4 separate regions of the Mus musculus genome follow, and regions 1, 2 and 3 are each reported to be linked to region 4. The links are microRNA targets in miRTarBase. Many come from high-throughput screens and were not tested one by one. Region 4 holds a microRNA gene; each other region holds the end of a gene's coding sequence.
The links. The annotated mature microRNA mmu-miR-466e-3p reads UAUACAUACACGCACACAUAAGA and lies in region 4 at 2,615-2,637, opposite strand. An mRNA with a match to its seed (bases 2 to 7 or 8) in the 3' UTR can be bound and repressed. Matches are read on the target gene's strand: a 7mer-m8 pairs with bases 2 to 8, a 7mer-A1 pairs with bases 2 to 7 and ends in A, and an 8mer does both.

Region 1: the mRNA of Fbxo45 is a reported target of mmu-miR-466e-3p. Seed matches in the 3' UTR shown: 8mer at 1,191-1,198.
Region 2: the mRNA of Ccna2 is a reported target of mmu-miR-466e-3p. Seed matches in the 3' UTR shown: 8mer at 3,201-3,208 and 7mer-A1 at 3,421-3,427.
Region 3: the mRNA of Slc7a11 is a reported target of mmu-miR-466e-3p. Seed matches in the 3' UTR shown: 8mer at 4,969-4,976.

Annotation. Positions count from the first base shown.
Region 1 is chr16:32,230,462-32,233,461 of GRCm38, forward strand. Fbxo45 (F-box protein 45) reads right to left here. Exons shown (of 3, transcript NM_173439.2): 3 at 1-2,807. The coding sequence ends at 2,622. Among named protein-coding and RNA genes, the nearest start is that of Gm25848, 12 kb to the right of the region's middle.
Region 2 is chr3:36,562,086-36,568,749 of GRCm38, reverse strand. It overlaps Ccna2 (cyclin A2), which reads left to right. Exons shown (of 9, transcript NM_009828.3): 5 at 1-162; 6 at 819-1,026; 7 at 1,637-1,750; 8 at 2,076-2,209; 9 at 2,468-3,885. The coding sequence ends at 2,516. It overlaps Exosc9 (exosome component 9), which reads right to left. Exons shown (of 12, transcript NM_019393.2): 9 at 6,586-6,664; 10 at 5,493-5,677; 11 at 3,454-3,532; 12 at 3,023-3,321. The coding sequence ends at 3,243. Among named protein-coding and RNA genes, the nearest start is that of Ccna2, 7.6 kb to the left of the region's middle.
Region 3 is chr3:50,368,017-50,374,680 of GRCm38, reverse strand. It overlaps Slc7a11 (solute carrier family 7 (cationic amino acid transporter, y+ system), member 11), which reads left to right. Exons shown (of 12, transcript NM_011990.2): 12 at 2,315-6,664. The coding sequence ends at 2,379. Among named protein-coding and RNA genes, the nearest start is that of Slc7a11, 72 kb to the left of the region's middle.
Region 4 is chr2:10,477,557-10,484,220 of GRCm38, reverse strand. Mir466c-1 (microRNA 466c-1) reads right to left here and starts at 2,687; the gene lies at 2,604-2,687. All of the region lies in intron 10 of Sfmbt2 (Scm-like with four mbt domains 2), which reads right to left. It overlaps Mir467b (microRNA 467b), which reads right to left and starts at 2,973; the gene lies at 2,901-2,973. Mir669a-5 (microRNA 669a-5) reads right to left here and starts at 2,460; the gene lies at 2,374-2,460. It also overlaps Mir669j, Mir467a-2, Mir466e, Mir669a-4, Mir467a-3 and Mir466c-2, and 1 more gene.

The DNA.
Region 1 (3,000 bases), not on the chromosome of region 4:
TGAGTGGGGCAAGAACTTCCTACTTTGTAGGTGAGAAACTTCTAGGTCAAATTCGACACAACTGCTCTCAACCTTTGGTAGCATTCTGAAACCAGGGCATTTTTAAATCCTTATGGTCGGAACATATCCCAGTTCTGACACCAGGATCAGGATACGGACCCATCCACAGTACTTTTAAGCCACTCTGAGATCTGGCCATGTTTGAACAGCACTGACTCAGGTGACTCATACTCAGCTCAGGTACAACTGTGTCTTCCATGTGCTCTTTACGCACCACCAAGAGCACGACCTCCTTTAACACTCAGCAGTTTACCTTAATGATCTGGGCAGCCACTACTTATCTCACTAACAAGATTTCTAGTAAATAGATCAGGCTATAAATGAAGGTTCTCTGTTCTCTAGAGGCCTGTCCTGACTAGGAACACTCAAATCGTTGAGCTAAAATGGCTTGTTGTTCTGGGAATGGTAGCATTCCCTCTAATCCCAGTTTTGGGGAGGTTGACGCAGGGAGATCGCTGTGAGTTCAGCTTTTAAAAAAACCAAAATCAAAACAAGACACAGAAAGAGTGGGTTGGTGTTAAATTGTTAGACAATTATCCGACTCTAAGTTCAATGAGGAATGAATAACCATGTGATTTTGTTTTCCAGTCACCACCTTCAAAAACTTGTTGCAAATGAACATTTACCAACAACAAGACAAAAACAGAAGTTCTGAGTCAAACTCATGAGAACTTGAGGAACTGTAATACCCTGAAGATGCAGCGAGTAAGGACCACCCGCACCTTTTAACTAGTCAGTCTTCATCCTTACCCAGGTCTTTAATCAATTTTTAAGTGCCACCAAATTGAGTTGTTCTAGAGCAGAAAAACAAACAAAAAACCCACAAAAAACAAGAAAAACAAAACAATTCCTGGGCCAGCTATCTTCCCTAAAACGTTTAACATATAATTCCACTTTGTACAAGGTTTCTTCTTGATACAGATTATCAAAAAGAATCTTTAACAAATTTCTTTTTCAAGCAACATAGCAAATATACAATAAATACATGTAACCCTTTCAGGAGGCAACTACAGACCGTCCTGTGGCCAGTCTCCTGTTTCATAGCAGTTTTGACAAATTTAATTCTCAAGGACCCCAAGAACCCCAGCGAGTCACTCTCTGTCCCTAATTTTATTAGATTTAAAACAAAATATACATACAGCAATCATGTAAAAAGTACAAAGATTTTACTTGCCTTCATCAATTCTTATGTATCTAAACCATATTAATTATACTTTTATACAGAAAGACGTTTCTGTTCTAACAAAAGGAAAACAACCAACAACCACCTCAGCCCATGTGTTGAGTCACTCCAGAGAGTATTAGTGAGAAGGTTACGGGTCAGAATAGGAGCTGACGTTCACTCTTGCCAAGGAAGCTTTCATGGTGCTGCCAACCTGAAGGTTTCAGCCTTAAGTCCCATGGGGCAACACCTAGGTGACTAAGAACACTCCTAACCTGGGCTCAGGCTGGCACTGTCTCAGGTGGGTGAGTAAACATTTGATGACAGCCCCAGTGGAGACTTTGAGGCTTCGATTGTTGTATAATGTAAACAATATGAAATTAAAAATTCTTCATAACAGCTACAGCATTATAAAGTTAAGAAATGAGAGAATGGCTGACCATGTGTTTTCCTAGGGTTTATACTAACAGCGCTCACACTGAGTTCTGTAAGATCAGCTGAGACTGTTCTGTGTGGAGACCAGTTTTCTCAGAAGGCCAAAAACTAAGCCAGATGCCAAGAGGCACGTTCCTATCTATCACTTCTGAGTCAGCCTTGCTGGCATGTGCACAATGCTAAGTAGATCTGCTTCCCCAGGCGTTAACCATTGAGGAACCTTTATCATAATCCTGTTATAGCCATGGACTATAAGCCCAAAACACTATCAAATGAACCAGTACAACATGTCTCCTCTTCTTTTCTCTGTTACCCTACTATCCCCAAATGTCACTGTAATTTTGTACCATGTAGTGATTTTTAAGAAATTGAAGTAGAACAAAGCAATGCCTTTGTCCCCCCCCCCTTTTTATACAGTTTTTACACACATTATATATACAACTTTTAAAATAGCTGCACAATTTTATTTCTCATTGCTAGAGAAGTGCAGTCCAGGCAGACCATGCTTCTCAATATATTAAAAATATTAAATAAAACCCAGCCAGTTTCATACTTTCTAAGTCAAGCTGGCTAGAAATAAAGGGACTGGAGAAAGAACAGGCAGTTGTAAGATGGGACCGAGCCTTCTCCATCAACACTACATAAACCCTTGCGATTCCCTCCTATGGCATCTCTACACGCTCACCTTTAAGCTGGAAGTAACACACTGCTAACTTAGAGAAGACGCTGTGGCAACATGCATATGTCAACTGCCCACTCAACCAACTGCAACCCTGAGGATTTTCTGGCCCAGTGGAAAGAGGAAACGCTATGATCACTCTGTGGCAGAGCTGCTTCTCCAGTTCTCAACTTCACGTGTCTTCAGGATGTTTCTTGGGCATGCACACATGATACTATCACTTCATGGTTCTACTTTCCACAAGTAGATCTCTTCTCCACTCTTCTTCTTTCCAGAAAGTCACTGTCATCCATCCAGAGGTTTTCCAAGATAAACCAAAGTCACTTCTGTGTTGCCATATACTGCAGAGACAGCTGGGTATAAGCAGGCTTTTGGAAGTCCTCGAAAGGCAACCCCCAGGAACTCATACCCACGCTCAAAAGCTAAAGTCTTATCCTCCATGTCCAGGATGACTCGGATTCTCTCTCCTATCTGTAAATAGACATTACAAGGTTAGCAGGCTATCCAGCAAAGGCATGGCTAGAAGAAAGTGGATACAAATCAGGAAGTGGAAAACACACAGAGAACCTGTACCTTCTTGATGAAAGAACACACATTATTCTCCATACACATTTATTTTAACTTTGTTTCTTTTCTTTTTTTTTTTTCTTTTTGATTTTTTCAA
Region 2 (6,664 bases), not on the chromosome of region 4:
GGCCATCCTTGTGGACTGGCTGGTTGAGGTGGGAGAAGAATATAAACTACAGAATGAGACCCTGCATTTGGCTGTGAACTACATTGATAGATTCCTCTCCTCCATGTCTGTGTTAAGAGGGAAGCTTCAGCTTGTAGGCACGGCTGCTATGCTGCTAGCTTCGTAAGTCCACCTAGTTTGGTTCAGAGTCATCATTCACTACTACTCCCCCCACACCCCCATTTATATATTTTTTGGATGTTTTGCCTGCATGTATATCTGTAGCACATGTGAGGTCCCTGCTGAGGCAGAAGAGGTCATTGGGTCCCCTAAGCTTGGTGTTATATACTGTTAAGAGCACCATGTGGGTGCTGAGAATTGAACCTGGGTCCCAGCCAATACTCTAACCATTGTACCATCTCTTCAACACCCAGTTTTAGGAATGGCTGTGGGATGATTCTGAACAGAGAGTGAAACTTATTTTCTAATCTAATATATAAAGCTTTCTAGATCTGGATTTCACATGCCTTGAATGAGCATAGGCCAACCACATTTTATCACACTAGATTGAGTTTGAAAGTGTGGCTCTTCTACAATAAAGTGCTTTCTGGGGTATAAGCTGTATCTTCCTTCTATCAGGAGATATTGTATGCAGGGGGCGAATCAGAAGTCCTTTAGTGACTTGGGCCTTTGAATTGGTTTTAACCATCTCAGCTAGAGATGTCAGTCAGCTGTCAGTGGGATGTGGTTGATGGAAGTGAGTGGAGTCTACAGTCTTTGCACTTCAGATTAAGACAAGACCTTCTGAATAAACTCACTCACAACTGCTTTTGTTATAGGAAGTTTGAAGAAATATACCCCCCAGAAGTAGCAGAGTTTGTGTATATTACAGACGATACCTATTCCAAGAAGCAGGTTCTGAGAATGGAGCACCTAGTATTGAAAGTCCTTGCTTTTGACTTGGCTGCACCAACAGTAAATCAGTTCCTTACCCAGTACTTCCTGCACCTGCAGCCTGCAAACTGTAAGGTTGAAAGCTTAGCAATGGTAAGTCCAGTTTGGGGGTTGTTTTTAGGTTGCAATTAAGGGGCAAGCACTGGTTTCGTCAAATAACACTGCTTAAGTCTTTTCGGACAGTTAATGCTCCAATACACAGAAAATGCTATGGCCCTCTCTACCTGTGGGCTCTGCACTTATGGTATAATAAACAGGCATTAAACGTAGCTGCCCATGTACTGGATAAGCACACACCAATCATATGTGTATTGTCTATTTTGTTTTACAAGTAATTCAGTGATATTCTATGTATATAGCATTAACTTATGAAAATAGCATGCATCTTTTATATGTAAGAGATTTAAGTATCTAGTGTCCATGGATAGGGGCTGAGAGGTTCAGGAGAGAACTTCCCAATGAATACACAAAAGTGACCATGCTGGAAAGGCGCTAACTAGTGGCTTAAAGAGAACAACCTAGTATATTAGGGGAGAGAAATGTAAGCTGAGAATAGAGGAAAACATTGAAATAATTTTCCCAGGGCTGATACAGAACCAGTGAGATCCAAGACAATGGAAACTGGTCAGGAAGCAAGGATTCAAAATCTTGAGTCTTATGTGTGATTATAAAAGTTGGGGTTTTGTTTTGTTTTTTATTTCAGTTTTTGGGAGAACTGAGTTTGATAGATGCTGACCCGTACCTTAAGTACCTGCCTTCACTCATTGCTGGAGCTGCCTTCCACTTGGCTCTCTACACAGTCACAGGACAGAGCTGGGTGTGTATTACCAGTTGCCTTCTCCAGTATGGGTGCCGCTTTGATTTGGGCTGAAAGCTTAGCTGTAAAGGTGCACTGAAAGCTCTGCTTCAAGAATCTGAGCCTTCCACCTGCTGCAAGCAGGGGAAGTAAACAGCCAAAATAAAAGATGGAGTGAGTGAGCTGAAACAGGGGGGACACCCTGAGTGAAGAATTGAGGAGGGAGCAACATTTAGAAATAACAAAACATCCTGTCAATGATTAGTGCCAATATTTAGATCAACTGTGAGCTTGTGGTCAGTGCCCTGTGCTGTTACAAAAAACTCAATGGTTGTCCCTTCCCTAGCCTGAGTCATTGGCACAACAGACTGGATATACCCTGGAGAGTCTTAAGCCTTGTCTTGTGGACCTTCACCAGACCTACCTCAAAGCGCCACAACATGCCCAACAGTCAATACGGGAAAAGTACAAGCATTCAAAGTAAGAATCCAATTCTTGTTGAATACAGTAACCTGCCACTACCTCAGTTGGCTCTTAAGTCATGTATTAGGAAGCTTTTGTGCCTTTGCTTCTGGTAAGAGAAGGGTAAGGGGGCAGATGTATGTGCTCTACGTATCAAATGTTTTTAAATTCATAATCAAGTAAAAGTAGCATTTCTCCAGTCTTGGGGTACATGAATTGTTCTGTAATCTCCCCAATGAATGTTTACTAAAAGTTTTTTTTTTCTCTGCTCAACAGATATCACAGTGTTTCTCTTCTCAACCCACCAGAGACACTAAGTGTGTGAGTGAAAGACTGCCGGCTTTGTTTGAAACAGGAGTCGCTCGGAGTCCATGCTGTACAGTTTTTATGTCGGGTTTTAGTTTCACAATCACTTCTGAATGTAGATGGTATAGCCACAGACAAATTATGGTATCCATTGCTTTTAAAATGGTTTTAATTTGTATATCTTTTGTACATGTGTCTATTTGGATAATTTTAATTGGTTAACATTGGTGCTGCCAACTGTCAAGATATTGAGAATAAACTGATTTGGAAATCTTTGCAAGTCAAAGTTAATCTGAGATAAAAATATGAATGATGTCGTTTAGAAACTAACTTGATTTGTTTTATTGTACAGTGGGGAGTAGGAAAAGATTTTATAAAACTAAAATATTTCAGGGAAAAAGACCTTCAAATTCTGGCATTGATTGATTATTCTAAGCAACCAAACCAAACTGCTGACTTGTTCATAAATAACCAAAAGTAGACAAACTGTTTTCAATGTAGCAGAACTCATTCGGCTCTCAGATGTTACAGTAGTTTATGGAGACATTTTATTTATCAACTTTAACAAATAAGGTCTTACATGAGTTGGGAAGCTTGTGCAACAGAAAAGTTTTCCAGAAAGTTTATTCAAAGCATAATGTTAAAGACAAACAGTGTATCAAGAAGTTCAGCTTGTAAGATACCCAGAGCTGTTAGCACTGAGTATGTATACACACACACACACACAGAGATCCACCACTTTAGCTTAGTTAGCAGTTCTCTTCTTCTTCTTCCTTTTCCCTTGGCCTTTACTTGGTGCCTTCTGGTTTGCACTGGTCTGAGCTCTGTGAATGAAGTAATATAACAGCTCACTGTATCCCATCTGTCCTGGATTGGGTCACTGGGACTCTGAAAGGTGCCCCATTTTATAGAACCAGCTTTTAATGTATATTTGAAAGAGGCCAGAAATTTGTTACCTTATTTTCTTTGGGTTCTTCTCTGGCTCCAAAATAATCATTTCTTCTTCTTCACTATCTGATAGCACTATAGGGGCACCTTTGGAAAAGTCCAAAAAAGGAGTTTACTGCTTAAGCACATCAGAGGTCCTAACGCTCCCATCTCCAGGCTAAGGGAGCTCCCAAGCTCTACTGCCCGGAGGCTGACACTCTTTCCGAATCTTACCCTGTTCTAAGTAAGTAGCTCCTTGCAGCTCTGAAAATTTGTAAAAATTGATGTTTTCTATAAACTCTTTCTTTCCTTTTTCCCCAGAGGACATGTAGGCCAGAATGCTCTAATTCTTGCTACCAGGACTGCCCATGAAAAATGTAGAAAACTGCTTTGTTTGCCCATTTTTCTCTTGAACAGTAATTATATATGTGTGTAAATAAAGCATGCAAATTAACCCTTTACCCATTTGGTGGGCTGTGTGTTGTCTCATCTTTATTCACATGTTTTAGGAAAGCTCTACCTTCTTCACTGTCCTACTTATTTTAGGTCCACTTTCATTGCTCAGGGTTCTTAAAACCACAAACAAAAAGCCTCTATGAAAAGAGATATACAAGTGCAAAGATATACTAGCACCGTAATAGTGAGAAGATAAGAAAAAGCATTACTGATGATTAAACCAACTGGATGATTCTCTATGCAGCATTTAATAGTCCTAATTAATTAGGATCTTTAATTTACTCATTTATCTGGTTAAACCAACATTGTTCCCCTGCCAAAACAATACCACCAAAAGGCTGTAAGTAGCAATTCCCTTCTGTTAACAGTGCATACTGCTATGAGTTCAGGGAATAGCACTCACATGGGGGCAGCTCACAATTGCCTGCAACTCCAGATTTGATGCCTGACTCTAGCCTTCAAGGCACTCATTTCATACATAGGTAGCACACATTTAGTGACGTCTTTAAAAGCATGTACCTACAAAAGAACCAGAGTTTGGTTCCTGGCATCCATACTGAGCTGCTCACAACTTCCTGGGACTCCAGCAAGTTCCTCTGAACTCCCTATGCATGCCCTGGCATACTGGAGCACACACATATACATAAGACCTTTCTGGGGGCTTCTAAAGTTTCCCACATTCTAACATACCAATGTGGCCATACTAACTCAGATAAGCCACACTTAAAATGTTCAATAGTGGGCTGGTGAGATGGCTCAGAACTAACTGAGAAGAGTACTGACTGCTCTTCTGAAGGTCCTGAGTTCAAATCCCAGCAGCCACATGGTGGCTGACAACCACTCGTAATGAGATCTGATGCCCTCTTCTGGTGTGTCTAAAGTCAGTTACGTGTACTTAGGTATAATAAATTTAAAAAAAAAAATTGTTCAATAGGTGAAGCTGCTACCCTAGCCAATGTACATAATTTCTTACCACAGAAAATTCTACTGTGCAGTATCTCTGTGTGTGCGTGCTAGCATCCACAGAGGCCAGAAGATGGCATCAGTTTCTTGGAGCTAGAATTATAGAGAGTACTGGATTATTGTGATTGAGCTTCAAGTGTCTCCAGAGCTGAACCATCTCTCTGGCCTATTTCATGAGCTTTTTTATATTTGAATCAAACTAAACAAGGCTGTTGGCAGGAAAGAAATCTTTAAGAAAAATCTTTAAGTGCCCATGGACATATTTTTGTTTGTTTTTGAGACAGGATCTCTAATCCTGCTGCCTGAAACTCCCTATGTAGAAATGTTCCTGCCTATGCCTCTCCACAGTGCTGGGATCAAAGGCGTATGCCACCACACCTGGCTACATGTAATTTTAAAAAATTGTTCAAAATATCACTAGTATGCCAAAGCATACCACCAGTTTACAAAAATAAAAACATTCTTTACAACTGGTATTAATATTTCTATTCAATCGTTTAATTAAAATTTAGTTTCAATGCTAAAATATTTAGCCTTCCAAAACAAGAAATATCCCTATGTATGATCTATAATCTCCATACAAAACTTTGTCTATAGTTTAAATATCTCAATTGTGGCTGTCTCTGTACACATTAAAAGCATCACCTACCTTGACTCCCAATATCAGAAACTTCTCCAGTGTCCATCTTTGTATCATCAAGAATGACAGCTTCATCAATGCCACCTTCCTCCTCTTCCTCTTCCTTCTCAGAATCTTCAAGGTCACCCCAGGAGTTTTCTATTCCGTCTCCAATCTGGGCAGTTCCAGGAGTCCACAGCACAGGTTGAGAAACACTTTAACAAGTTAAGAAAACTGAATATCCAAAACACTGTTATTTAATGAGCTACCAAGAAGAGATCAGATTTCCTGGAAGACTGTTTCATGTGTTCCATAAATTCTTAGGAATTAATATACTATGGACTGCTAAATAACATAACTGCACATGATCTCAAGATTATATAACAATGCATAAAGAACTTGGCCATGTCATTAACACTGAAGTACCATTTCTCAAAGGGAAATGAATGCTGGCTTTGGTTTGTATTTTCTTACAGTGGTGAAATGGAACCCAGGGCCATAAACAGCTAGAAAAGTGCAGCACCAATGATCTACATCCCCCAGCTTTTAGTTGGGTTTTTTTTTTTCCAAGACAGAGATTCTCTGCATAGCCCTGGCTGTCCTAGAACTCACTCTGTAGACCAGTCTGGCCTCGAACTCAGAAATCCGCCTGCCTCTGCCTCCCAAGTGCTGGGATTAAAGGTGCGCGCCACCACGCCTGGCTAGTTGGTTCTTAAAATAGAAAAATGTACGATTTTTAGATAGGGAAGAGAAGCTAGATGTTACATTATTAACTCAGTTTGGCATATTTTTCTCTTATAGTATGGGGTCCCCCAAAACAAACTTCAATATGTACACTCTAGCCTTAAAGAAACAAAACAAAACAAAAAACTTATGCATCTGATTACTGTAAAACCCACCCAATAGGGGCTGGTGAGATGGCTCAGTGGGTAAGAGCACCCGACTGCTCTTCCGAAGGTCCAAAGTTCAAGTCCCAGCAACCACATGGTGGCTCACAACCATCTGTAACAAGATCTGACTCCCTCTTCTGGAGTGTCTGAAGACAGCTACAGTGTACTTACATATATTAATAAAATAAATCTTAAAAAAAAAAAACAAACCCACCCAATAAAGATACACTTACACTTCTGGGGGAGGTTCAGCTTCAGCAATAATTTCTTCTGCTCTCTCCTCTATGTTGGAGGTATCAATAGGGGCCGTCT
Region 3 (6,664 bases), not on the chromosome of region 4:
ACAAGGATGAAACATGGAAACCGAAATCACTGACTGGCTGTAAGGTTCTGTAGGTTGTAGTTATGGAAAACTCCAACTGTAGGTCATCAGCTTATCTTTATTTGAAAAGGCAGTAATAGAGATTTGTTATTGTATGGCCACTAACCTTACTGTGAGTATGGATACATAGCACTCCAAAAGTCACGTGTTCTGTAGTGTTTCTAGATGCTTCCTTGGTTCCATTGAGCACCTGTGCCAGCCCCACTGTTGTAGGTCAGCTTAGGAGGAAAAGTGGGGAAACCAATATGTACCTCAGGCCAAATGCCTATCTGAGCACTCCATCATGATAAACGTTACGGCACCACTAGGACCCCAAAGGGAGAGCTGGGGAGAATATGTCAACAGGGCTGGCTAGGCTGAACCACCCACTCTGGGTCTTGGTCTTGCTCTTGCTCTGCTGAGAGAAGAATGGAAACTGTGCTTTCAGAAGGACACAGGGCCATCCCAGTTGCTACTGTTGTCTGGAATGGATGCAAAGTTCCCACATCAGGGAGCAAGAGATCTAACAAGGCAGCATATAGAGACCTACATTAAGGCAAAGCAGTAGGAAAGAGCTTTGATGTCAGGAGTGGAGGACCAAGTGAGAAGACAGGATGGAGAGATTAGTTTAGGAGGTTATGCAGGAGTTTGAGCAGGGCTAACAGGGGCTTGAGGCCTTGTTTCTTTAACCCCATTGCTTGTTCTCCCTCTCTCTCTGTGTCTCTGTCTGTCTGTCTGACAATTTTACCATATTCTTCTCTGCAAATATGGGGTTTGATTGTTGCTTTCATGGCAGATTGGACTGTATAAAATACAACTTATTTAAGAAATATGTAAGGTATAACATTTGACATTACTGTACATGAGACCTCTCTAAATAAACGTAGGGTTAAAAACAAGCAAAAAACAAAACATCCCGCCTCCAAAGAAAAAAACCCATGGGATGTCCCCAGGCAAACTCCCTCAGTGATTATTACTGTATTTGTTTGTTACTTTTCTTTGTTCTGCAACAACATACCAGGCAAGAGGCAGTCTAAGGGAGGAAGGATTTTTGGTTCATAGTTTGGGTGATGACAGCCCATCCTGGCATAGAAGGCACAACTGCTGGGGTTTCCCGGGTGTCTGGTCCACTGTCTTCAGCAAGGGAGCAGAAACCAAGGAGAGGTTTTATAGGAAGTAAGGCTGGGCCATAAAGTCTCCAAACCTGCCCTCTTAACCTGCATTCCCCAGTGAGGCTGTACCCGTACACCTTACACAGTCTTCCTAAACAGCACCAACAAACAGATGGGGGCCAAGTGTTCAAAGGAGGGACATTTAGCAACACCACAAGAAGCAGAGAACAAAGGATAAAAATAGCTTTTAAAAACGTAGTTAAACATCGCGTGCAAGGGCTTGTTAGAATAAGAAGTCATCAGAGAAGAGAAAAGTGTCTGGAGGGGAAATGATTTGGGTCTGGAACCTTGGAGAGGATGCCACATAGGCTCCTTTAAGATCAGGAGACTTTGGAAGATGTTCTATGGGGACTGATGACAACAAGAAAACAAGAATGTCCGTAAAACCATCACCCCCAAGCCCAGCCCCCTAGCTCTGTGGTCAGAACATATTCTTAAAAGTAATACAAGCCAGGGGTTATTATATTTTGGTGTCCATTCGAGTTACCTCTTGCTGGGTTAAACCTTTAAGAGACTGAGACCTTGACTTGAAGCAAAATCTGAATTGTGGAGAGTGTTTAATGTAATTGGTCCAAGGACCAGACCTTAGTGACCCAAATTAGTCCAAGTTTCTCATTCTACTCATGAGACAGACTAGGTCTTGATAATTAAGATAATTTGCTGAACAGTACTACAGATTAGACACTGGAAATACTATTCTCCTCCTGACTGTTCTGAGAACTTGGTTGTTATCCCCTATGTAAAAAAAAAAAAAAAAAAAAAAAAAAAAAGAACAAACCCATTTTGAGCTGAACATGAACATGAAGAATATTTGTAAACATTTATTTATATCTTGGTTCCATTGTCTCAAAATATTTTCAGCCTCCTGGTTCATAAATAAATTTTCTTATTTGAATACAAAATATTAATATATTCTTACTGAGAAAGCATCATGGGATGTTGTAGTAGTGACAAGTCAACTAATTGAGGATGATAGGATTGTAATGAAGTAAATAATTCTCGGAAGTGCTCCGTGAAGAAGGGAGCTGTGTCTTCTCAGTATTCATCCCCAAATAATTCACATTTTGCTATTTTTATGCCACTGTGATTTTCATGCATTTTAATTTCTCCTTATTTCTTTATAGACAGAATAACCAGAACATTACAGATTATACTAGAAGTTGTACCAGAAGACTCTAAAGAATTATGAACTTAATGCATCAAAAGCTTGGCCATCTGCCCAGGATTGAGATACAAAATGGATTTTTATTTCAAGAAAACACAACGTTGATGATGGACTAAAGGAATCAGTTATCTCTATTCATATCCTCTAGCGTATTCAAATTAATTTCTGAGCAACTTACTGGTAACTCCATGTATTTGTAGCAAGCTAATATGCAAGTCATACAGTGAGGCAAGCTCACAGTTCTTGAGTCTAGTGCCTATCTGCTGGGGGGAAAGGAAAAAAAACCTAAGGGCTTTGGTACCTGGGCTATCATTCCTCTACCACGTTTCTTATCATGACTGAGAACCTTGAACAGAAGACCAAAATGGTTTCTGTATATATGAGGTCTATAAACATAGCTTTACCTACTGGGGACATCTATACTGTGAAAGTATTTTGTTTTTTATTTTTCTGGAAAAAAATGTCATTATTGTAGCAAAGAAGGTAGAATGACTTTGATATTGACATTGGACTCTTTTCCCTTAGTGATCAACATGGCTGTCACTTATCTTTCAATGGCTTATACTCAGAGCATCAGAACAAAAGATGAGGGAGTAGTGTGTGTGAGTGTGTGTGTGTGTGTGTGTGTGTGTGTGTGTGTGTGTGTGTGTGTGTGTGTGTGTAGCTTGAGATCAAATTCAGGGCTTTACAAAAGCCAGACAAGCACTCTACCATTGAAATACACATACACCCTAATTTTCCTAAATGCATAAAATAAGTATTTCCAGGGGTTAGTATTCATGACACAATCCTAGGAACTATGTTTGTACTAAAATCATTGAGAACTTGTTAGGTTAACTTCATCATAGCTCATTGTGAGGAAGCTCGGTGTTTGCAACATCACTGTGCATTCATTGTGGTTTGTTTTTTTCCTGAAAATGTGTACAGTTTGGTATGCTATCCATTGGTGAACCACCTCTTTGATAATTTACTTCTTGGTGGACAAAAATGTTTTCCTCATCACAGTACAACATCAGCATGGGAGACATTGCCCATAAATCTCCAAGTATCAGGCTTTCTCTTTATGAGCCCCATTTATATGCAGTGTTAGTAATTACTCACTTTTACTTTGTGGCTGTTTTCACCTGGTGATGAGTTTTTGACAGTGTGTGCATTCTCTTTACAGTTCTGTTAAAATATGCCTCTGGTTAAAACTATCTGGATCAATTAGGAAAAGTGCAGATTTACATAAAAACTATGAACGAAATGCCACTGCTTCGTGAAAATCTAGGCTGTTTCAGTCATTTCTTCACTTTAGTTATAATTCAATTTGCAAAAGAGGGAGATGTGACCAAACCCATTGAAGGAGAGTCTTCAGTACGGTTGTTCAGCTAGCTACATATGTTAAATCAGAGTTAGAAAACAGTAGCCATATTCAAATGGAATTAATGCAATGGTGGGATTTTCAAAATATTTTTCTAACATCCAAAAATTAAATGCTCAGCATAGTCACAGTTAATTTCATCTCTTATATTCTGACCACGTAAAACCACAATGTTTTAAAAAATTATCCTGAACTGGGCATTGGCCAGGTCACCACCAAGTACCACAGTGGGAGGCTGGTAGTTAATGCCAACCTTGAAGCCAGTGGGGCACCAATCTATAAACTGGATGCTGTGCTTGGTCTTGATGGTGGCAATGGCAGCATTGACTATTTGGGACCCACATAACCACGGTACAGCAGGCAGCAAGCCATGTATTTACCATGGCAAGGGTCATATTTCACCATCTGGTTGGCTGGCTCAAAGCAGGCATTGGTGATCTCTGCTACAGAAAGCTGCTCATGGTAGGCTTTCTCAGCAGAGATGACAGGGGCATAAGTGGCCAGAGGGAAGTGGATACGAGGGTAGGGTACCAGGTTGGTCTGGAATTCTGTCAGATCAACATTCAGGGCCCATAATCAACGGAGAGACACTCCATCAGCAGGGAGGTGAAGACAGAGCCAGTTCCCCCACCAAAGCTGTGGAAAACCAAGAAGCCCTGGAGATCCGTGCACTGGTCAGCCAGCTTATGAATCCTGTCCAGGACAAGGTCAATGACCTCCTTGCCAGTGGTGTAGCGGCCACGGGCATAGTTATTGGCAGCATCCTCCTTGCCTGTGATGAGCTGCTCAGGGTGGAAGAGCTGGCAGTAGGTGTCAGTGAGAACTTCATTGATGACTGTGGGTTCCAGGTCTATGAACACTGCCTGACGCACATGCTTGTCATCTCCTGTCTCACTGAAGAAGGTGTTGAAGGAGTCATTTCCTCCCCCAATGGTCTTGTCACTTGGCATCTGGCCATCAGGCTGGATGCCATGTACCAGGCAGTAGAGCTTCCAGTAGGCATTGCTGATCTGGACACCAGCCTGGACAACATGGATGGAGATGCACTCACGCATGATATCAATTGCTTAGAGGGTGAGGGTGAGAGAGAGAAGCAGACACTGGGTCTCGATTACCATTCCCGACAACTAAGAGTCGACATAAGTAACGCAATGAGGCCATAAAACAGGTTTTAAATTCAGGAATACTCCTCCACACTTGTAATATGTGTTTTTATACAAAGTAAATGTTTCTCATATTTTAGATTTATATATGTATATACACATGCAATTACATGGGTCAATGTTTGTGCTGATGTACATATTCGAATGTTTATATAAAACCATGATTTGAGTATTACAACACCAAGCTAAATGCAGCCCAAACAGTTTAAAATATACAATACTCTATTTTCAAATATTCTTTGTTTAGTATACAAAGCACCTGACATGTAACTTTTAAAGCATCTCATAAAGATTTCCAATGCTTAGATGCAATTTTATTCTCCTTGCATGATTATAAGTATTTCCATTGACTGATATTCTTATAGCACTTCTTTATCTCTTCTTTAAAGCAGTAGATTCTCTCCTTTGATTTTAAGTGGCTCTTGGAAATGGTTGGCTCTGCTCAGCAGACAACAGGTCCTGCTCTTGTCTTTTATCAGGAGATTGAACATTTCTCTTAGTAAGCATGGCTGGGTCCAGGTCCATTTGTGAGGTCATGAGTGTCCACCCACAGTCTGTGCATATTTTCTCCCCAGCCCTGCAGGTACAGGATCAGGACAGCTGATAGGGTTATTTCTCTGTGCTCTGCAGATACTATAACACTAAAACATGCATATAGGAACATTCTGCTTTTCAGATTGCCTTACGTGTGTCTGCTTAGATTGTTTTCTTAATTGCCATTTGAACAGCAACAGATGGTTACCATGAGTACAACTCTTTACTAGACGTCATAGTAAGTTGAGATCAGCCTTTGGGAACTCCCTGTTTCATCTCAATTTATAGGTGAATGGGATGCTAAGAAAGCCTGCTTCTCTCCCTTTTTTTAATATCTGATAACTGAGGTGTGAAAAGACAACCCAAGGTCCCTACCACATTTTACCATCATGCCACAAAGAAGGGAAATTTTAATGCTTGTCTCTTGAATGTAAATGAACACCCTGAGAAGCTAATGAGACAGGCATTTGGGTGCCTCCAATGCACCTAAGCTCCTTCCAAGACCCCATCCCTAGCACTCACTTGCAAAGATTTTATATTTTTAAAAGACCAGGGATTGGGGCTAAAGAGGTGGCTTGGCTTCGAAGAACACTTAACACCTTTACAGAGAATACATATGGCAGCTATCACCATAGGTAACTACAGTTCCAGGGGACCCAGTGTCCTCTTGTATGTACAGGCATGCACATAGTGCACATATATCCATGCAGACAAAATACTCGTATCTATTAAATGTATGTGAAAAACTTTTAGAAACAAGGAAAAGTACATAGACTTTGGACACTGTAATATCTATATTTTCTTTGTGAATAAGGTAAAAGTAGTCCCCATTATCTTCCCATTAGAAGTAATCATAGGATATTTGTAAAACACATGTTAAATATATAAATTCTATGTTAATTAAAATATACACATAAAAACCACTAGTGGCTGTCTCATAAGTTCTATGTGATACAGAAGTCAGTGATGTCAACTGGGTTAAGTCATGAATAATAGAAAAGAAATGAATGAGGTTTTATTTGTAGTTTTTTTTTCTTTCCTTATTTTTAGAGAGAAATACATTTGAGATTTCAATGGAGATGACTCAAGAAACTTTATTTTATTTGAATATCATTGGCTTCCTGATGCACTCTGTGTTGGTGCTGATAGAATGCAGGTGATCTCTTATGTCCCTAATCATTCAAGCTGAGAATTAGGTCATGGCACTGTGTAATGGCAAGGAGATTATAGAGAAGGTAGCAAGTCATTT
Region 4 (6,664 bases):
ACACACAACTATACACACATGCACATACATGGAGGAATCACAGGCTGATCTCTCATGAGGATAAGTGTAAATTTGAACTCCTGATACTCTTAACTCTAGCAAGCATTTTCACTCTAAGTCACTTATCATTCAAATGGATTGACGAGTGCCATTCCCCTGTGTCTGTGTGCTCATATGTGTCTTATGTGTGCGTGTATGTATATGTATATCATATTCACATATGTACATGCACACACACATCAACACATATACACATACGTAGGGGCAATCACATGAATGCCAGGATGACCTCTAACTCATCATGCCTTTACTATGAACTTGCACTCCTGATCTTCCCGACTCTACCAAGGGTTTTCCCGTGGTTTGTGAGACCTCACCCTGGCCCAGTCATACATAACCTCCAAAGCAGTAGGTCACATATCATTCAAATGGATCCGTGAAGGCCATTTCCGCATGTCTGTGTGCATGTGTGTGTAGGTGTGTGTATGTATATGCATAAAATATACACGCATATACATGCAGGCACTTACGCACACGGGCACATACATAGGGGCCATCACATTATTCCAGGATGATCTCTAACTGCTCATGAAGTTAAGCATGAAATTGAACTCCTGATCCTCCTGACACTGCCAATTATTTACACCTGGTGAGTGAGACCTTCACTGTCCCTCTACTTTATAATCAGCAAAATTCTAAGACATATATCATTCAAATGGATCAATGAGTGTCATTCTTATGTGTGTGAGTGTGCACGCCTGTGTGTGTGAATACATTTGTATGTGTGTGTATTTATATGTATGATCATATACACACATGTACGTGCACACACAATTATATGCACTTGTGCATACCTAGGATCCATCACACAAATACAGGGTGATCTCTAACTCATTATGAAGTTAAGCATGAATTTGAACTCCTGAGACTCCTAACTCTGGCAAGTGGTTTTCATCTGATAAGTGAGATTATTCCCTATACCATGAATATACACTCAATGAAATTATAAGCACGTATAAATCAAATGGATGACTGCCATGTGTGTTTGTGTGCACATGTATGTGTCCCTAGTTGTGTGGGTGTGTATACATATATATATATATATATATATATGCATGTTCATATACGCGCATGTACAGGCATACTTCCCTATACACATAAACACAAACACAGGGAAAATCACATGAATTCCGGGCTGATCTCTAACTCATCATAAAGTTAAACATGAATTTGAACTACTCATCCTCATGATGCTGGCAAGAGTATTCACCTCCTAACTGTGTCATAGCTCAGGCCATTCGAGGGAGTATGTTTGCATGTGAGTATATGCATATTCATATACAGAAGTGAATATGTACACAACTATACACACATGCACATTCTGGTGGGCATCACATGAATCGCATACTGAACTCTAACTCATCATGAAGTTAAACATAAATTTGAATTCCTCATCCTCCTGACACTGGCAAGAGTACTCACCTCCTAACTGAGACATAGCTCTGGCCATTCCTATGAATGTGTGTGCATGTGTGTATATGCATATTCATATAGAGAAGTGAATATGCACACAACTATACACACATGCAAATTTTTGGTGGGCATAAGATGAATCCCATGCTGGTCATGAACTCATCATGAAATTCAGCACAAATTTGAACTCCTGATCAACCTGACTCTGTGAAGGGACTTCACCTGCTGAGTGAGACCTCTCCCCATTCAGTACTGAGGAATCTTAAAACTCTAAGTCACACGTCATTCAAATGGATCGATGAGTTGCACTGATGTTTGTGTGTGTGTTTCTGTTTGTGTCTGTGTACATGTATATATTTGTGTAGATAGGTACATCCATATACTCAAATCCACACACAATAGAAACAGATACAGATAGAGATACATAGGGGGCATCACATGAATCCCAGGCATATCTTAAAGTCATCATGAAGTAAAGCATGAATTTGAACTCCTGATCCACAATCTGTCACACCTGGTGAGTAAAACCATTCACTGTCCCAAACTGCATAATCTAAAACTTTAAGTCACATATCATTCAAACGTATAAATGAATGCAATTTTTTTCTCTGTGTCTGTACTTGCATATACACGTGTGTTTATATTTTGAATATCATGTCAACAGAGGCAATGCATATACAAGTAAACACACATGCACATACATGGGTGGCCTCATATGAATACCAGGATGACCTCTAACTGAATTAAGCATGAATTTGCAATCCTTATCCTCCTGACTTTGTCAATCTTTTACACCTGGTGGGTGAGGTCATTCAATGTCCCCTATTGCATAATCTCTAAAACTCTACATCACTTATCATTCTAAGGGATTGGCGAATGCCATTCCTGTGTCTGTGTATGTGTGCTTGCGTTTATACGTGTGTGTGTATGTTATGTATATTCAAATATAGACATGAACATGCACACACAACTATACACACATGCACATACATGGAGGAATCACAGGCTGATCTCTCATGAGGATAAGTGTAAATTTGAACTCCTGATACTCTTAACTCTAGCAAGCATTTTCACTCTAAGTCACTTATCACTCAAATGGATTGATGAGTGCCATTCCCCTGTGTCTGTGTGCTCATATGTGTCTTATGTGTGCGTGTATGTATATGTATATCATATTCACATATGTACATGCACACACACATCAACACATATACACATACATAGGGGCAATCACATGAATGCCAGGATGACCTCTAACTCATCATGCCTTTACCATGAACTTGCACTCCTGATCTTCCTGACTCTATCAAGGGTTTTCCCGTGGTTTGTGAGACCTCACCCTGGCCCAGTCATACATAACCTCCAAAGCAGTAGGTCACATATCATTCAAATGGATCCGTGAGGGACATTCCCGCATGTCTGTGTGCATGTGTGTGTTGGTGTGTGTATGTATATGCATAAAATATACACGCATATACATGCAGGCACTTACGCACACGGGCACATACAAAGGGGCCATCACATTATTCCAGGATGATCTCTAACTGCTCATGAAGTTAAGCATGAAATTGAACTCCTGATCCTCCTGACACTGCCAATTGTTTACACCTGGTGAGTGAGACCTTCACTATCCCTCTACTTTATAATCAGCAAAATTCTAAGACATATATCATTCAAATGGATCAATGAGTGTCATTCTTATGTGTGTGAGTGTGCATGCCTGTGTGTGTGAATACATTTTATATGTGTGTGTATTTATATGTATGATCATATACACACATGTACGTGCACACACAATTATATGCACTTTTGCATACCTAGGATCCATCACACAAATACAGGGTGATCTCTAACTCATTATGAAGTTAAGCATGAATTTGAACTCCTGAGACTCCTAACTCTGGCAAGTGGTTTTCATTTGATAAGTGAGATTTTTCCCTATACCATGAATATACACTCAATGAAACTCAAAGCACGCATAAATCAAATGGATGACTGCCATGTGTGTTTGTGTGCACATGTATGTGTCCCTAGTTGTGTGTGTGTGTGTGTATACATATATACATATATATACATATATATATATGCATGTTCATATACGCGCATGTACAGGCATACTTCCCTATACACATAAACACAAACACAGGGAAAATCACATGAATTCCGGGCTGATCTCTAACTCATCATAAAGTTAAACATGAATTTGAACTACTCATCCTCATGATGCTGGCAAGAGTATTCACCTCCTAACTGAGTCATAGCTCGGGCCATTCGTGGGAATATGTTTGCATGTGAGTATATGCATATTCATATACAGAAGTGAATATATACACAACTATACACACATGCACATTCTTGGTGGGCATCACATGAATCGCATACTGAACTCTAACTCATCATGAAGTTAAACATAAATTTGAATTCCTCATCCTCCTGACACTGGCAAGAGTACTCACCTCCTAACTGAGACATAGCTCTGGCCATTCCTATGAATGTGTGTGCATGTGTGTATATGCATATTCATATAGAGAAGTGAATATGCACACAACTATACACACATGCAAATTTTTGATGGGCATAAGATGAATCCCATGCTGGTCATGAACTCATCATGAAATTCAGCACAAATTTGAACTCCTGATCCACCTGACTCTGTCAAGGGATTTCACCTGCTGAGTGAGACCTCTCCCCATTCAGTACTGAGGAATCTTAAAACTCTAAGTCACACGTCATTCAAATGGATCGATGAGTTGCACTGATGTTTGTGTGTGTGTTTCTGTTTGTGTCTGTGTACATGTATATATTTGTGTAGATAGGTACATCCATATACTCAAATCCACACACAATAGAAACAGATACAGATAGGGATACATAGGGGCATCACATGAATCCCAGGCATATCTTAAAGTCATCATGAAGTAAAGCATGAATTTGAACTCCTGATCCACAATCTTTCACACCTGGTGAGTAAAACCATTCACTGTCCCAAACTGCATAATCTAAAACTTTAAGTCACATATCATTCAAACGTATAAATGAATGCAATTTTTTTCTCTGTGTCTGTACTTGCATATACACGTGTGTTTATATTTTGTATATCATGTCAACAGAGGCAATGCATATACAAGTAAACACACATGCACATACATGGGTGGCCTCACATGAATACCAGGATGATCTCTAACTGAATTAAGCATGAATTTGCAATCCTTATCCTCCTGACTTTGTCAATCTTTTACACCTGGTGGGTGAGACCATTCAATGTCCCCTATTGCATAATCGCTAAAACTCTACATCACTTATCATTCAAAGGGATTGGCGAATGCCATTCCTGTGTCTGTGTATGTGTGCTTGCGTTTATACGTGTGTGTGTATGTTATGTATATTCAAATATAGACATGAACATGCACACACAACTATACACACATGCACATACATGGAGGAATCACAGGCTGATCTCTCATGAGGATAAGTATGAATTTGAACTCCTGATACCCTTAACTCTAGCAAGCATTTTCACTCTAAGTCACTTATCACTCAAATGGATTGATGAGTGCCATTCCCATGTGTCTGTGTGCTCATATGTGTCTTATGTGTGCGTGTATGTATATGTATATCATATTCACATATGTACATGTACACACACATCAACACATACACACATACATAGGGGCAATCACATGAATGCCAGGATGACCTCTAACACATCATGCCTTTACCATGAACTTGCACTCCTGATCTTCCCGACTCTACCAAGGGTTTCCCGTGGTTTGTGAGACCTCACCCTGGCCCAGTCATACATAACCTCCAAAGCAGTAGGTCACATATCATTCAAATGGATCCGTGAGTGCCATTCCCGCATGTCTGTGTGCATGTGTGTGTAGGTGTGTGTATGTATATGCATAAAATATACACGCATATACATGCAGGCACTTACGCACACAGGCACATACATAGGGGCCATCACATTATTCCAGGATGATCTCTAACTGCTCATGAAGTTAAGCATAAAATTGAACTCCTGATCTTCCTGACACTGCCAATTGTTTACACCTGGTGAGAGAGAATATTCACTGTCCCTCTACTTTATAATCAGCAAAATTCTAAGACATATATCATTCAAATGGATCAATGAGTGTCATTCTTATGTGTGTGAGTGTGCATGCCTGTATGTGTGAATACATTTGTATGTGTGTGTATTTACAGGGATGATCATATATACACATGTACGTGCACACACAATTATATGCAAATGTACATAACTAGGGTCGATCCCACAAATCCAGGGTGATCTCTAACTCATCATGAAGTTAAGCATGAATTTGACCTCCTGAGACTCCTAACTCTGGCAAACAGTTTTCATTTGATAAGTGAGATTTTTCCCTATACCATGAATATAAACTCAATGAAACTCTAAGCACGTATAAATCAAATGGATGACTGCCATGTGTGTTTGTGTGCACATGTATGTGTCCCTAGTTGTGTGTGTGTGTATATATATATATATGTATGTATATATATATATATATATATATATATATGCATGTTCATATACGTGCATGTACAGGCATACTTCCCTATACACATAAACACAAACACAGGGAAAATCTCATGAATTCCGGGCTGATCTCTAACTCATCAAAAAGTTAAACATGAATTTGAACTGCTCATCCTCATGATGCTGGCAAGAGTATTCACCTCCTAACTGAGTCATAGCTCGGGCCATTCGTGGGAGTATGTTTGCATGTGAGTATATGCATATTCATATACAAAAGTGAATATGTACACAACTATACACACATGCACATTCTTGGTGGACATCACATGAATCGCATGCTGAACTCTAACTCATCATGAAGTTAAACATGATTTTGAACTCCTCATCCTCCTGACACTGGCAAGAGTGCTCACCTCCTAACTGAGACATAGCTCTGGCCATTCCTATGAATGTGTGTGCATGTGTGTATATGCATATTCATATAGAGAAGTGAATATGCACACAACTATACACACATGCACATTTTTGGTGGGCATAAGATGAATCCCATGCTGGTCATGAACTCATCATGAAATTCAGCACGAATTTGAACTCCTGATCCAACTGACTCTGTCAAGGGATTTCACCTGCTGAGTGAGACCTCTCCCCATTCAGTACTGAGGAATCTTAAAACTCTAAGTCACACGTCATTCA